Linked DNA regions of Sus scrofa. The protein of the gene in region 1 purifies or fractionates together with the protein of each later gene. This does not show direct contact. Links are inferred from orthologs where the notes say so. Each region holds a gene or a part of one and is shown on either strand. Other genes may lie near its edges.

Region 1 (4,253 bases):
CCACTGTGTGCAGTGTATTTTTAGTCTATTATCTGTAAATAGAAGTTCACTCTGTGTTGATTTCTATAATTATATTTAGTACAGCAACTTAAGAGATATAAACAAAAGAATATTTATATACCAATAAAATAAAGCACAGTTACAAAGATTTAAGCCAACTCAATTTTGAAAAAGATTAATTAAAGATGACACAGAATGAAGATATAACACAAAACTTGTAAACTCTGTTTTACTCATCCGGGACTAACAGAATATTTGTTCTGTGTAAATAAAAATTGTCACAAAGCAGATTATAGCTTTGTGTTGTATAGTTATGACAGTGAAACAAATGTAGGATTCACTCCTGAAACAAAGCTTTTAAAAACATATTTATCCCAGAAATTCCCTTGTGGTGTATCAGGTTAAGGATCCAGTTTTGCCACACATTTATGGTGCAAGTCACAACTGTGGCACGGGTTCAATCCCTGGCCTGGGAACCTCCACATGCCACAAATGTAGCCAAAAAGCAAAAACAAATAAAAAACCAATTTATCCCTAGGAAGTTGTTGTCACTGTACCTATTTTAAAGATAAGTGAATTTAAAATCAAACAGGTTCCGCAGCTTTGTCTTGGGCCACCAAACACTTCTGTGGCAGAGATCTGGTGGCAGAGTTGGAAAATAATTTCTGATTTCCAGGTTCAAGGTGAAAAACCCATAATTTAATGTGTATTAAGTCAGGGGAAACCCAGAAAAGCAATTTCCACACTTGGTATGAATAAACTTAGGAAAGCTGTCCAGAAACTGAAGCTTACAACCTCTAACAGCAATGACCAATAATTAACTCCCTGCCAGTCTGACTTGAATATGGATTCAATTCAGAACTAGGTTGTTGGGGTTTTTTTTCTCCAATATGATCTAGCAACACTAAGTCTCTAACTCTGTCCTGCAAATGTTTTCACTTTTTTGTTAAATTCTGGCTGTCCAAGACTCACACACATGGAGAACAGACTTCTGACTGTCTAGGGGAGGGAGAAGGGAGTGGAATGGGCTGGGAGTGTGGGGTTAATAGATGCCAGCTATTACATTTAGAATGGGTAGACAATAAAGTCCTATGTATAGCACAGAGAACTATATCCAGTCTAGGACAGACCATGGTGGAAAATAATATTAAAAGAATGTGTGTGTGTGTGTGTATATATATACATATATATGTGTGTATATATGTGTGTGTGTGTGTGTGTGTGTATGACTGAGTCACTTTGCTGTGCAGCAGAAATTGACACATTGTAAATCAACTATAATTAATTTTTTTTTTTTTTGTCTTTTTGCCTTTTCTAGGGCCGCTCCTGTGGCATGTGGAGGTTCCCAGGCTAGGGGTCTAATCGGAGCTGTAGCCACTGGCCTACACCAGAGCCACAGCAACGTGGGATCCAAGTCGAGTCTGCAAGCTACACCACAGCTCAGGGCAACACCAGATCCTTAACCCACTGAGCAAGGCCAGGGATCAAACCTGCAACCTCATGGTTCCTAGTCAGATTTGTCCACTGCGCCACAACGGGAACTCCTATAATTTAATTTTTTAAAATGAGTTCAAAAAATCTGGCTGTTCAAAAGTAGGGTAATTCTATTGTTAAGTTGACAAAGCCTATGTTGAAGCAACCAAGGAAAATGGAATTGCTTTCTGACAACCCTGCTTAAATATATATAGAAAGTGTTACTGTTCTCTTTCCTGCAACCCGTATGCTAAAAAAAGTTATTGTTTACCCTCATCAAATTTATTTGATCCAATTATCTTAGCCAAATTTATATATATATATAAATTATTATTATATTATTATGTGTGTGTGTGTATATATATATATATATAGATAGATAGATATTATATATATAGGGTTTTTTTTCTTTCCAGGATCCGTACTTTAAGAAATGCATACTCAAGGACCAAGGGTGAAATGCTGGAATTTGCTTTAAAATACTTCAGCAAAGAGGAAAAAAAAAATACAGCTGAAACATCTGTGACAGATCTTTCAACTGTGTAATGGGGGTGATGGCATATAGGGGGTTCATTTCACATTTTCTCTCTATTTTTGTATATGCTCGAAGTTTTTCACAATAACTTCACAAAATGAATTCTTTCCAGACAAAGTTACCTTCCTGGCTATGAAATATGAGTCAGTGGATGTGAATGTTCTTGTCTTCGGAACGAAAGTGGGCGAAGGGTCTCCAGCAGAGGCCAAGCAGCCGTGGGCTCCACGCCCCTCCGGCCCCGCGCCAGCATGCGGGCCGAAAGCGCGCACGTTTCTCTTGAGCTGAATCTGACAACTCCCACTCCGTGCGCTCTACGGCTCGCAGGACTGCCGAGCTCAATTTGGAAGTGGCACACGCGGGGATCAAGCCCGCCGTTCGGGAACCCAGACAAACTCCGCTCGAGAGCTTCAAGGTCCCGGGCCCAGGGTTGCAGGCCTAGCCCCCGAAGCCCCCTCTGGAACTCCTAGAGACCCCTACCCGACCCGCCACTGCTCCTTCGACCCCCCCACCGCGACCCCTGGCCCAGCCTGCCTCCTACCGTCCAAGTCCTCGTCGTCCTCCGACTCGCTGTCCGCGATCGCGTCGGTGACAAGGCCAGAGCTGGGCTCTAGATCCTGGGAGCCGGAAGGAGGGGCGGCGGGTGGGGTGGAGGCTCGGGAGCGGGCCTCGCGCAGGCGGGTGAAGTAGTCCACCGCGAAGTCGACCAGGTCGGGTGGCTGCCGCCGCAGCACCTCCACGGTGTAGCCCTGCAGCAGCTCCGTGAGCCCAGGCGGGATCTGGATGTGGCTCATGCCGGCGGCGGCCGCGAGGACAGGCAGGACCCGGCCGCCGGCAGCCACTGTCTGGGCGCTCCCTCACGCCGGCCTCCCGCCCGGCACCCGCGAGGTCTCCTCACGCGCGACCTGGGCTGGGCCCCCCTCGCGCCAGGTCGCCCTTTGGCCGGGTGTGCGTTTCCGGGTCACGCCACCCTACGCTACTCCGGCCGGCCTGGTACCGCCGCCGCTGTCACTGGGCAGCCGCCGCCGTAGCCGCGGGTACCGACAGGCGGGCAAGCGGGACGGGCGGGGCAGGAGCCCGGGTTGTGACGCACGCTGCCGCGGGCGTGCGCGCTCCCGCCAGCGCTCTGGCCCTCAGTGCGCGTGCGCCAATAGCCCACCGGGCCTGCCGGGCAGTCTCTCCGCAAGGCGCAGCAATTAATGGTTTTCCCGTTAAGCGGGTCCATTGGCGCCGCTTATTTTTAATTTCTACTTTCAACACACCCTAGGATCCTCCCGTTTGCTAGCCCTTACTAAGTGCCAGGGACATAACCGAGAGTCAACGTAAAAATGCACATTACCACCTCAGAGTGGTTCCAGCTATAGTGCAGAGCAAGAGGGCCCACATTAGGGGATGGCATTTAAGCTGGCTCAGAGGCCTGGGCAGGATCTGGCCATAGGAGCATCTGAAGAAAAGCCATGTGGCCTAGAGGGCAGTAAGTGCAAAGACCTGGTAAAGTCAGAACCACCCAGACCTCAGGGTGGAATAGTGGCATGACCATAGGCCCCTCAGAAGTCTTGGCAGGAAGACTGTGAGATGTCAAAGGGAGAAGACCTTGTAGATAGGAGGAGTTTCAGTGATATAGTAATTTTGGAGCCAAAGGCAGATAAATAAGCCTGGAAGAGCTCAGAAGGTCAAACATGTTCCTTGAGAAAAGGGAATAAGACCCAGAGCAGGAGAGAAGGATCGAGATGGCAGAGGAGTTAAGATGTCTCCCTCACCTTCTCCCACAAAAGAAAGTTGTTTTTTGACAACTCCCACTCCATGTGCTCTACGGCTTGCAGGACCGCAGAGCTCAACTTGGAAGTGGCACACGCATCAAAAAAACAAAACTACACATAGAACAATTCGCACAGAACATCTATTGAACACTGGCAGAAGAACTTAAGCCTCCAAAAAAGGGCAAGAAACCCTCCACAAAACTGGGTAGAACAACAACAACAACAAAAATCAGAGAGAGCAAGAGAGAAAGAGAAAGTCCCAGAGCAGGAATGACCACTGTGCCTTTTTCTCCTCTTGAGCAATACAATCAGGATTCCCAGGACTAGGTCTGGATATCTCTTCTATCCCTATATTCCACCCTGGGCCAGCAGTACTTTAATGGTGTTGAGCAGACCACAAGGCACAGATATCCTTTGCCCCTGGGGAGAGGGCATAGGTGAAACTGGAGAAGCCATGCTATTTCCCAAGTTGCCCCTTCATGCACACC
Region 2 (3,500 bases), on another chromosome or scaffold:
TATAGGCCAGGGTGGGTATAAGATGAGTTAGCTGTATGCTTGGTGTTCTGTGGTCCTGTCTGGACATTGGACACAAGGGACCTCAAGGGGGGTCGGGTGCCATTTGCACTCCCACAAACCCTCTGCAGTCAGGACAAGCACAGTCATTCTAGACAGTGAGTTTGGGGGGTGAAAATGGAGTGGGCCAGTTGCCGAGGGGCTGACTTCCTATTTCTTTGTGTCTGGTAGATGATGGAGCTGGTGACTTCCGGTCAGGAGATGAAGAATTCAGGGGCGTAAGTTTGCCTTTACTGATCAACCTCTAGTGTCTCTTATGTGGGATTTTTTCCTTACTTCAGTGTTCTCCTCACAAAGAGGCAAGAACAGTTACTCTACTTCATGAGTAAATTTAATAATCAGGCTTGCAGCCAGGTTTCTAAGACTTTTCCACTTGCAACAGCCCTCCTTTTTCCTGAAAACATCCCCAACCTTCTCTCCAGCTATTCCTCTGTCCTTGTAGTGACACACCTAGCTGCACACTGGTAACTGTAGTGGTTGTGTGAGCTGAGGCTTTCAAACAGGCACTGAAAACTCAAGTGCTGCCAGTTCTGTGCTGGTGCTGAGCTGCATCCTTGTCATTCAGCTCTTAAAACTAGTCATAGGTCAGAGAGCCTGTTGTGGATCAGCAGTAGTGAACCCAACTAGTGTCCATGAGAATGGGTTCAATCCCTGGCTTCGCTCAGTGGTTTACGGAATCCAGTTTTGCTGTGGCTGTGGTGTAGGTCGCAGATGCAGCTTGGATCTTGTGTGGCTGTGGTGCTGGCCAGCAGCTCCAGCTCCAATTCAGCCCCTAGCCTGGGAACTTCCACATGCCACAGATGCAGCCCTAATAGGCAAAAAAAAACTAGTCATGGGAGATGGTTATCAAAGGCTGACTCTTAGCCAAGACCATATACAAGCATGTGGGGAGCAATCCTTTGCCACCCCCTGCAAATTCTGATTCAACTCTAAGGTAAGGCCTGGAAATCTGGGCATATGAAGGCTTTATCCACTTGCTTCTGATGTGTTTGGGGCAGGGAAGAGGGGAGCAGGATACAGTGAATTTTCAACTTTTCTGAGGGTCTTGCTTCCTTTCTGTCTAGGATTTCTTAGATTTTCGAGTCTGGGAATCTCTGCATATCTGTTGATGACTAATTTAATTCTCAACTTGATGTCTAAGGAGTGGCTTCAGTTTCAGTTTTCAGTTAGATGATTTTATCTGTAGCTGACTTGTTATAACTTTTGATAAATACAAATAAGTAGAAAAAAAGTAAGTTAGTCATTATCACAGAATCTCAGAAAGCAACCAGGAGTAATGACAGGACACGCAGGCTCCATCCCATGGCCCTAGGACTTGTCCTGGTACATTGTGGCTCTGTTCCTAGTGGCACAGTGACCACCTGGTGGTGGCAGGTAGCTAGGCCAGTTACGGAGAATTCTGGAAATTCCACCTCACAGTCCAACTTTGTATGTGCCCTTTTTTTAGGAGGACGAATTCTTCGACCCTGGGAAGCAGAGAGGTAGGCATCACCCAGCGTCCCTTTGAGCTTTCTTGTGTCTGCCCAGCTACCCTGCACTCGCTGCCTAACCCCCAGCTGGGCTGGGCTTCTGAGCAAGCCCAGGGCCTGGATGGAGGGGCTAGCAACTCAGGGCAAAAGAGGGGCCATGGCTACCAAGTGGGCCTTGGCCATGCCACTCACCCTGAGGTTTTGCCTCAGTGTTTGGACAACACTTGCTGGAAACAAATCTGGTTGCCTCACTCAGTGCAGGCTACAGAGACGGGGAAATTCATCTCTGGATGTCTGCAATAGTGGTAGGGAAGAGAGAGTTTCAGAAGTACAAGAAGGAAAAGAAAAAGCGCCCTCCAGCCTGTCTTCTCCGTTCCCTCCTTGGCCAGGGCAGGTCTGTGTGCTGTACACTGTGTACTGTTTCTCCTGGGCTTTATTCTGTCCATAGTTCTTACCAGACCAGAGCCATGCCCTCAGCCTCAATGAGGGGGACATGGGCACTGCGTGGGTCAGTTTGGACAGCTGCCTGGGTTGGGAGCTGGCGGTGGGGGAGGGGGGGCCTGTTTAGGCACATTCCAGCCCAGATCCTGCAGAGGCAGTCACTACTACATCAGGTCTTGCTAGTTTCAGTGCAAGTACAGAGCAATGTTAACCCGCCCCCGCCCAGGGGGAGCATGGAGAAGCGGCCACTTCTTTTCCTGTTCCTGTGGGTCCATCCATAGCTGGTTTCCCCCAAGAATCATAGGCTGGCTCCTTTGTGACTCTACTCCCATAAATTCCAAAGGCCTCTGGTTTAGATGTTCCTTTTTATATGTTCAGGTTTAGCCAACCCTCTGAGGCCCTCCTATCCTGTTTATTGACGTGATTATGTCTATAGCATGGGACCACACAGCATTTAGCAGCTCGTGCAGCAGGGTAAATGCTAAAGCAAAGGTGACATGTTTGTTGCGCGCAGGTCCTGCTACCTACCCGGGATGACTTTGCTTTAAACAGCAGTAATAGTTTCAGGCAGTGACCTCTTGCCAAAAATCCCACACGCCCTTTTGAGAGGCTTCTGAGCAGCGCACGCCGGTCGCCATCTTCGTGGGACAGTCTCGTGACTGGCATCAGGGGTAGGGGTTACAGTTCAGATGCTTATCCAACCTTTTTTCAGTGTCTGGCCCTGGCCTCAGGCTGGGACTCTGGGCTGCACAGCTCTCAGAAGAGCTCTTACACTGGCCCCATGGGATGGATGGAGGACCACTTGGTCTCTTCCCACTTTTGTTTTTGGGATTGTTTCCCATGTATCCCTGGGAAAGCCCTAGATTGATGGTTTTTGTGAGTGGAAGATAGAATTTGGGCCACCAGGGATTATCAGACCTGCTGAGGCCCTAGTTCAGAGGAGGCTGACGGGGCAATTATTATGGTCCACTGAGAGGTGGGACGGAGGGCGGTAAAGTGGCTTACTTTATTTCCTGAGGCCTTCCAACTGCTGCCTCTTTATCTGGGAAGAATTGCTTCTCTCTCTAAAGTAATGTTGGGAGAAGACCCAATGGTAGGGCGCTGGACTGGAAAAAGCAAGATAGGGAAGGACAGAGAGAGCAGGCAGGCCATGGTGTGAGTGGGATGGACAGGATGTGTCCCTGGCTCATCCCAGTCTTAGCAAGCCATGGGGGGAGTGAGGTGACTCCCTGGGGAACTACTGAGGATTCATCGCAAAGGCCCATCCCTGTTGGGAGCCTTTGACGCCCCTTGGTGCCTCAGGGTGTCTTGACCCTGCCACGTGTGGAAGCAGTGGCAGGGCATGGGGTATGGTGGCCAAACTAGCCCCCATCAAGGCCCTGGTGCTCAGCTCCTGTGAACTCCTCAGAGTGTCTCGAAGGGACTTCTCTGTTGCAGGAGAGAAGGATGATGAAGATGATGAAGTAAAGAAGAAGAGGGAAAAGCAAAGGAGAAGAGACAGGATGCGAGACCGAGCAGCTGACAGGTAAGGTG
Region 3 (3,500 bases), on another chromosome or scaffold:
ACAAAATTGTACATTCGATATAACATGCATAAGAAAATATATTAAGATGTTTTTAAAAAGGCTACCTCTGGGTGGTGAGACTATAGCTTTCTTGATTATTTTTATTTTTCTGTATTTTCCTGATTCCATACAATGAATATTTCTTCATACATATAAACACATTTTTTAAAGTTTTGGTGCTTATGACAAACACCTTATTTGTTAAATGCACTTGAAGAAGAAATATGTTATTAGCAATGAAATTTAGATTATAAAAGACAAAGTTATAGATGATTTAAAAAGGTGAAAGATTTATATGATCTGGAGAGAAACCAGAGTATAGTTATAGATGATTTAAATCATGAAAGATAATGAGAATAAAGCTGAAATAATTCTTTTATTTTATTCTAACACTTCTATAGGTTAGCCAAATTTGAATTATTCAGAAGGTAGTTATTGAGTGTCTAAGTATTGAGGCAGGTTCTCTTTCTCTTTCCTGGTTCCTGTCTATGCCCAATTATCAGTTTTTCTTTTCTGGCTTTCTCCACCAAAGGATGGCAGAAGAAAGGAAAACAGAGGTTAAAACATCATTTCAGATATGATTAAAAATTTCTCATCACATTTTCTCTGTTTAGAAAAGTAGAACTGTCTTAAGATTATATTCATTTGCTATAATACTATTTTTAAACTAAAGTTTAAAAAAATAATTCACATATAGTTCTTTCATTTAAGTGGTAAAGTTGAAACAAAGGAAGAAGTGACAACTAGTACACGTTATCTTTAGTTTGCCTCTTGGTGTATATAATGCAGAGCAAGGCTTCCCTCCCCTCTTCTTATTAGAAGTAATTATGAAAAGGCTATGCTTTTGGCTTCAAAACATGGATCTAGAGGTCAGATTTAGTCCTACTAATTCTCTCAGATCCAGAGTTAAAACTGACAGCTTCTAGGATTAGTGGTAGACTCTAAATAATTACTTTTTAGTAATTATGCACAGATAAAATTCATAATTTAGATTAAATAAACATAAAATTTGATCAGTAAACTGTTTTTTAAAATAAAAATCCACAGTGATGCATGCCTTATATTTATTTTTTCTTTTTTCGTTTTCTTAAGTATAGTTGATTTACAATATTATGGTAATTTATGCTGTACAACAAAGTGATTCAGTTATACATATACACACACCCATCCTTTTCCAGATTCTTTCCCCACATAGACCATCATAGAATACTGGATAGCATATGCCTTATATTTCTACTTCTTACATAACAACATTATAAATATACCTTGCTGAGAATTATTTCTGGAGCCAAATATTCTGGAGTGCCACATAATGTCCAGGTTCTGCCTTTAACTCTTTTGGCAAACCCAAAGTCTGTGACCTATAAAAGAAAAAAAACCCAAATACTTGTGAACATTTATTATTTACTGTACCTAAGTTGAAAGTTAAAAATCAGTGTTAAACTTAATACTATGAAAAAAAATTAAGTCAGAGCAACTGAGACTAGTCCAAGAAGGCCACTATTTAGTGAATGAAGTGTTAAAGCAACCTATACTTTAACCTTCTTGACTCAAAGAAAGAAACAAATGAACCAAAAAAAAAAAAAAAAGGTTTTAATAAAAATGAAGCAATGATAGGAGTGTTCCTTAAGTCTAGCATGTCCTCTGCCGTTAAATACAGCATCAGAAGTGCAAAAGCATCATTGGGAGAATCTATTGATAACTGTGTAAAAAGGAGTGCCATTCTATTAACAGCAGAAATGGAAAGAAAAACACTGCTACCAGTTCAATATTGGTAGCTGGGGTTCCTTTGGCAGCTGTACCATAGCTTTACAAAGCACGGATTCTTGAGACACACTGTCTGGGTTCAAATTCTAACTCTACCTGTGTTTCCTTGCTGTGCCCTAATTTCATTAACCTTAAAATGAAGATAATAGTAGTAGTTATACTTCATTGTCTTATCAGAATTAATAGAGATGATGTAAGTAAGACACTTAAAATAATGCCTGGCACTAAATGAGTACTCACAAATTTAGCTATTACTTCTTTAGGCAGGAGCCTGTGCTCAGCTCACAGCTATAGAATCTGGGGGATAAAAACAGATTTTATCTTCAATGGAACTCTTAGTTTTCTGTAATAGTGACAGAACTATGAGCTAGATTTAAGCTATTAGGAAGAACTGTCTACCCCAAAGGGGAAAAAAAAAAATCCAGTATTGGTAGGTGTGGTTAAATACAGACAACTTATTACCTAGTATTTTCTCAAATACATTATACATAATGTGTTCACGTCATACCTGGATATAACCTTGGTGGTCAATTAAGAGATTTTCAGGTTTTAGATCTCTGTAGATGAGGTCTAGTGAATGGAGGTACTCGAATGTTAGCACTATCTGAGCTGCATAGAACCGTGCATGGGGTTCACTATAAAGAAAAAAAACATTGACTTTTGGTAAAATGGTTTAACATATAGCAGTTAGTAGATTATACAAAAAAATAACATGAGGTAATAGTGTTTTGGGAGCAAAACTTGTTTTTTTTTTTTTTTTCCTTTTAAACATGTCAAGAATCTCGTTAGTTTCCAAATATTTATTAAATCTATAAATCATCTTTAAATAATACTTTGATCTGCTTAGTAGACAGCAAATGTTGAAAAATGTAACTCTCAGATTTTCACTGTATTTTCAATTATTGCTGACCATATTAGAAGTTACTGGTGTCTTTATAATTATATCTGACCTTGAGAATGATTGAAAAGTACCAGTTAGACTGTCAGGCCATTGCTGCTGTTGATAGGTTCCATCTACCTACCTTTCTCATACATTTCAAATACTTAAAGAATTTCATTTCACAGAAATCTCTAACTGCATTAATCTGCAGATTTATGCCATTTTTACCCAGGCTGTTCCCATTACAAAAGTGATACATGCTCATTATAGGAAAAAAAAAATTAATGAAGAATAAGGATACCAATAATCTCATTCAGAAACCACAGATTCAATCTTGGTATCTGAATTTCCAAATCTTTTACTATGCATGTTTGCTAAAACACAGGAATAATCTGTTTATTTGTGTAAATACACACAGTTCTTGATGCATAGATTCAACTAACTGATGGATTAGTGTAATTTTGATGCCATATTCTGAGTATTACTCCAAAAGGATGTACTGATTTTCTAGTGTGTTTCTAGTTCATCTTCTATTGTATACACTGAATTCTGTTAATCTCCCTGATCAAATGCAATGACTTTCAGATTTGTGTCCTCAGTGAACAACTTCAACTATGAATAGAATTTCCCTCAAGATGGTTGGCATGAGTGTGATCTGGTAGCAGCAGAAATAGGAATTCTAAAAAAAGACTGTATATGCTGTTCCTTTTGCTTGTCATTCACTGTATTTCCAAGGTCACATCCTGATATATACCAAGTGCTTAGCAAATATCTGCTGAATGAATAATGTGAAGAAACACACTTCTTTTGTGGCAATATTTTATAATACCCTTTCAGTTCCAGCCCCATCCCA
Region 4 (2,773 bases), on another chromosome or scaffold:
GCCATGTGAGGACAGAGCAGGAAGACGGCAGTTAGGAAGTCAGAAAGCAGGCTCTCTCCAGACATCAAATTTGCTGTGTTTTGATTTTGGATTTCCCTAGCCTCCAAAACAGTGAGAAATCTCTGCTGTTTTTGTAAGCCACCCGGGCTATGGTATTTTGTTATGGTGACCTGAACAGACTAATAAGACATGCACCATGAACTGTGGCTTAAAAATGAAGGTTCAGGAGTTTCCATTATGGCACACTGGAAACAAACCTGACTAGTATCCATGAGGATGTGGGATTGATCCTTGACCTTGTTCAGTGGGTTAAGGATCCAGCCGTTGCTATGAGCTGTGGTGTAGGTGGCAGACGCAGCTCAGATCTGGTGTTGCTGTGGCTGTGGTGCAGGCCAGCAGCTGTAGCTCTGATTCAGCCCCTAGCCTGGGAACTTACATATGCTGTGGGTGTGGCCCTAAAAACCAAAAAAATGAAAACAAAAAAAGGTTCAAATACAGTGTAGTTAAAATGGTGAAGTCATTTTTATTTCAGTACTTGACAAAATACCCCATAAAATCCAAAACTTCTACCATTATACAAAAATAGGTCTCTACAAGTGATATTATCTGTCTTTATCACCAGTAGCAAATATATTAGGCAGTAACATGTAACTTCAGTAGCCTTATAAGAAAAGTGCAGGACACCTCGAGCTACACATTCAACAGTATCATAATGCGCAAAAGTTTAATCTTTTCACCCATTTGATAAATACACAAGGTTTATAATTTAATCATTTAAATTAGCATTCCACAAATATACATGTAATTTGATGATTATTGTGCATGAATACATACACAATGCTTATATGTACAGAATCCAGTTTGTTTTCATGTGCTGGCAAGGGATTTGTATACAATCATAAGCTGTGTTTGTATTGGTCCCGGTGAATATCCACAATACAAAAGCACAAAAGAACCATTGATTTACAAAAGGGAATTTGTTTAAAATCACTTTGATTCATGTTTCAAAGGATTATCTTCTCATGCCAGCATGAAACTGAGTTGAACCTGTAACATAGAAATAGGATACTTCAGTGATTTCAATGAGATTGTGACTTAAATCAGACTAACCAGTTCATAAAGGGCAGAAGAGGGACCTTGTGGCGCAATGGTAGCGCGTCTGACTCCATGAAGGGCAGAAGGAGGCACCATTTTTAAAAACTTTTTTCTGCCTAAAATAATCTTATTCAGAATTGAACTGATTTTTAAAAGAGACTCTTTTTTGTGTGTGTCTTTTTTTAGGGCATATGGAGATTCCTAGGCTAGGGGTGGAATCAGAGCTGTAGCAGCTGGCTTACACAATAGGAGACCTTGAACATATATTCAAAACTCACCGTGGCTGGCTCCAGGGCATGCTAAGTGAGATTAATGATAAGATTCTCTGTAAAGTGCCCTGCAGGTTGAATGTTCTATACCTCTTGCCTCTTGAAATACCTCTTGGTCTTAAAAATCTGGGTCTTGTGAAATATAAATGCTCAGGCCAACCAAGTCCTGCTATGATAATTGCTTCCTACAACTATAAGTTGCTTGGGTTAGACAATTTCTTATATGAAGAGGCAAACTACTAATTTAAAATAACTGGCTATTAGTCCTATCTATTTTGTGGGAATAGTAGGAAAAAAGGGTCTTTAATAAAAGGAAAATATACATATACACATACATACATATAAACTGACTTAAAGCTCATTAAATTAAAATGATTCAAGACCATTGAATCAGGAGTGAATTGAGAGACAGAGAAGAGAGGTTTTTTCCCACAATAAAAAGGGAAGGGATTCCACATTTACTAAGTACAAAAAAATTTTTGTGTGGTTTTCTTTCCCCCTCCCTTTTCCTGTTTTTTTTTGTTTTTAGCAGAGACAATAAAAGGTCATTCTTGCACAGTCCTTTGAATAGGATGGGTTTCTTGGATCACATATAAAAAGCACTTGCTTCCTCCTCTCATCTCCCCAGCTCTTATTTGGATGCCTCAGCATGTATCACTTGGCAGCAAATTCTCCAGCAGAAACTCTGTGTGTCTCAGAGTACTTTGTACATAGATGCTCATCATGTACTTCACCTAATCAATTGTCTTAATGAGATAAGCAGGAGAGTGGGATCCAGGGTGATAAATCAAGTTTTGGCTTAAATTCCTAAATCTAGCTTGGTAACTCATACTCAAGTTTAAGATTTGATTGTCCTAATGAGGAAGGTCAAGGAATTTCAAGAAAAGAAAGAGTTCTGGGTCTATCTAGCACCATGGTGCTGCCAGTACTTGGTTAAGCTGAGGGTACCTGACTGTACAGTTCCAAGCCGTCTCTGTAGCGCCTCTAGCCGAGTGATATAATCTGTCAGGGCTCTGTCAGGATCATAATTCTGAAGCTGAGAGCATGCTAAAGAACTGGGATTTAAATCAGCTGGAGTGCCTGGGTACCTATGAGATAAAAAATACGAACATGAATCCAAACTATCCAAAAACAATGCAAGCAATGTGCCAGTCGAGCTCCACCTTGCCTTCAAAAGGTAGACCACTGGTACTCTGCCTCATCTATATCCCTCATATGTCTGAGTTTGCCATGTATAAAGGAAAAAAACTCCTCAATAAATTCGAAGCAGATACTAAGTCATCAAAAGAATGTCCAGCACACTGCCTGTTGCCAAGGCCATCAATAAATGTTGCAAACATATAAATGCACCTTATGCAAACTTTAGAGTTTTTTTTCATAATTCTGGAAACTACCAATTTTAGTCAATG

Evidence for each region. Proteins that work in one complex are often made in the same cells at the same time.
Region 2: the proteins of PRKAR2A (region 1) and AKAP8 purify together in Homo sapiens (affinity purification with western blotting; 3 studies listed by BioGRID and IntAct, with this or other methods). This does not show direct contact. The link is inferred for Sus scrofa from reciprocal best matches to the Homo sapiens genes PRKAR2A and AKAP8.
Region 3: the proteins of PRKAR2A (region 1) and PRKACB purify together in Homo sapiens (affinity purification with mass spectrometry; 6 studies listed by BioGRID and IntAct, counting the BioPlex papers as one, with this or other methods). This does not show direct contact. The link is inferred for Sus scrofa from reciprocal best matches to the Homo sapiens genes PRKAR2A and PRKACB.
Region 4: the proteins of PRKAR2A (region 1) and AKAP9 purify together in Homo sapiens (affinity purification with western blotting; 3 studies listed by BioGRID, with this or other methods). This does not show direct contact. The link is inferred for Sus scrofa from reciprocal best matches to the Homo sapiens genes PRKAR2A and AKAP9.

What each region holds. Positions count from the first base shown.
Region 1 is NC_010455.5:31,514,206-31,518,458, forward strand, and holds the start of PRKAR2A (cAMP-dependent protein kinase type II-alpha regulatory subunit), read right to left. Parts: upstream 2,801-4,253; 5' UTR 2,800-2,800; coding exon 2,547-2,799; intron 1-2,546. UniProt on the Homo sapiens protein: Regulatory subunit of the cAMP-dependent protein kinases involved in cAMP signaling in cells. Type II regulatory chains mediate membrane association by binding to anchoring proteins, including the MAP2 kinase.
Region 2 is NC_010444.4:62,228,560-62,232,059, forward strand, and holds part of AKAP8 (A-kinase anchor protein 8), read left to right. Parts: intron 1-228; coding exon 229-275; intron 276-1,504; coding exon 1,505-1,538; intron 1,539-3,404; coding exon 3,405-3,492; intron 3,493-3,500. UniProt on the Homo sapiens protein: Anchoring protein that mediates the subcellular compartmentation of cAMP-dependent protein kinase (PKA type II).
Region 3 is NC_010448.4:129,545,196-129,548,695, forward strand, and holds part of PRKACB (cAMP-dependent protein kinase catalytic subunit beta), read right to left. Parts: intron 2,403-3,500; coding exon 2,276-2,402; intron 1,362-2,275; coding exon 1,266-1,361; intron 1-1,265. UniProt on the Homo sapiens protein: Mediates cAMP-dependent signaling triggered by receptor binding to GPCRs.
Region 4 is NC_010451.4:72,052,626-72,055,398, reverse strand, and holds the end of AKAP9 (A-kinase anchor protein 9), read right to left. Parts: intron 2,453-2,773; coding exon 2,313-2,452; coding exon of another isoform or gene 2,266-2,312; exon of another isoform or gene 1,048-2,265; coding exon 1,013-1,047; 3' UTR 501-1,012; downstream 1-500. UniProt on the Homo sapiens protein: Scaffolding protein that assembles several protein kinases and phosphatases on the centrosome and Golgi apparatus. Required to maintain the integrity of the Golgi apparatus. Required for microtubule nucleation at the cis-side of the Golgi apparatus.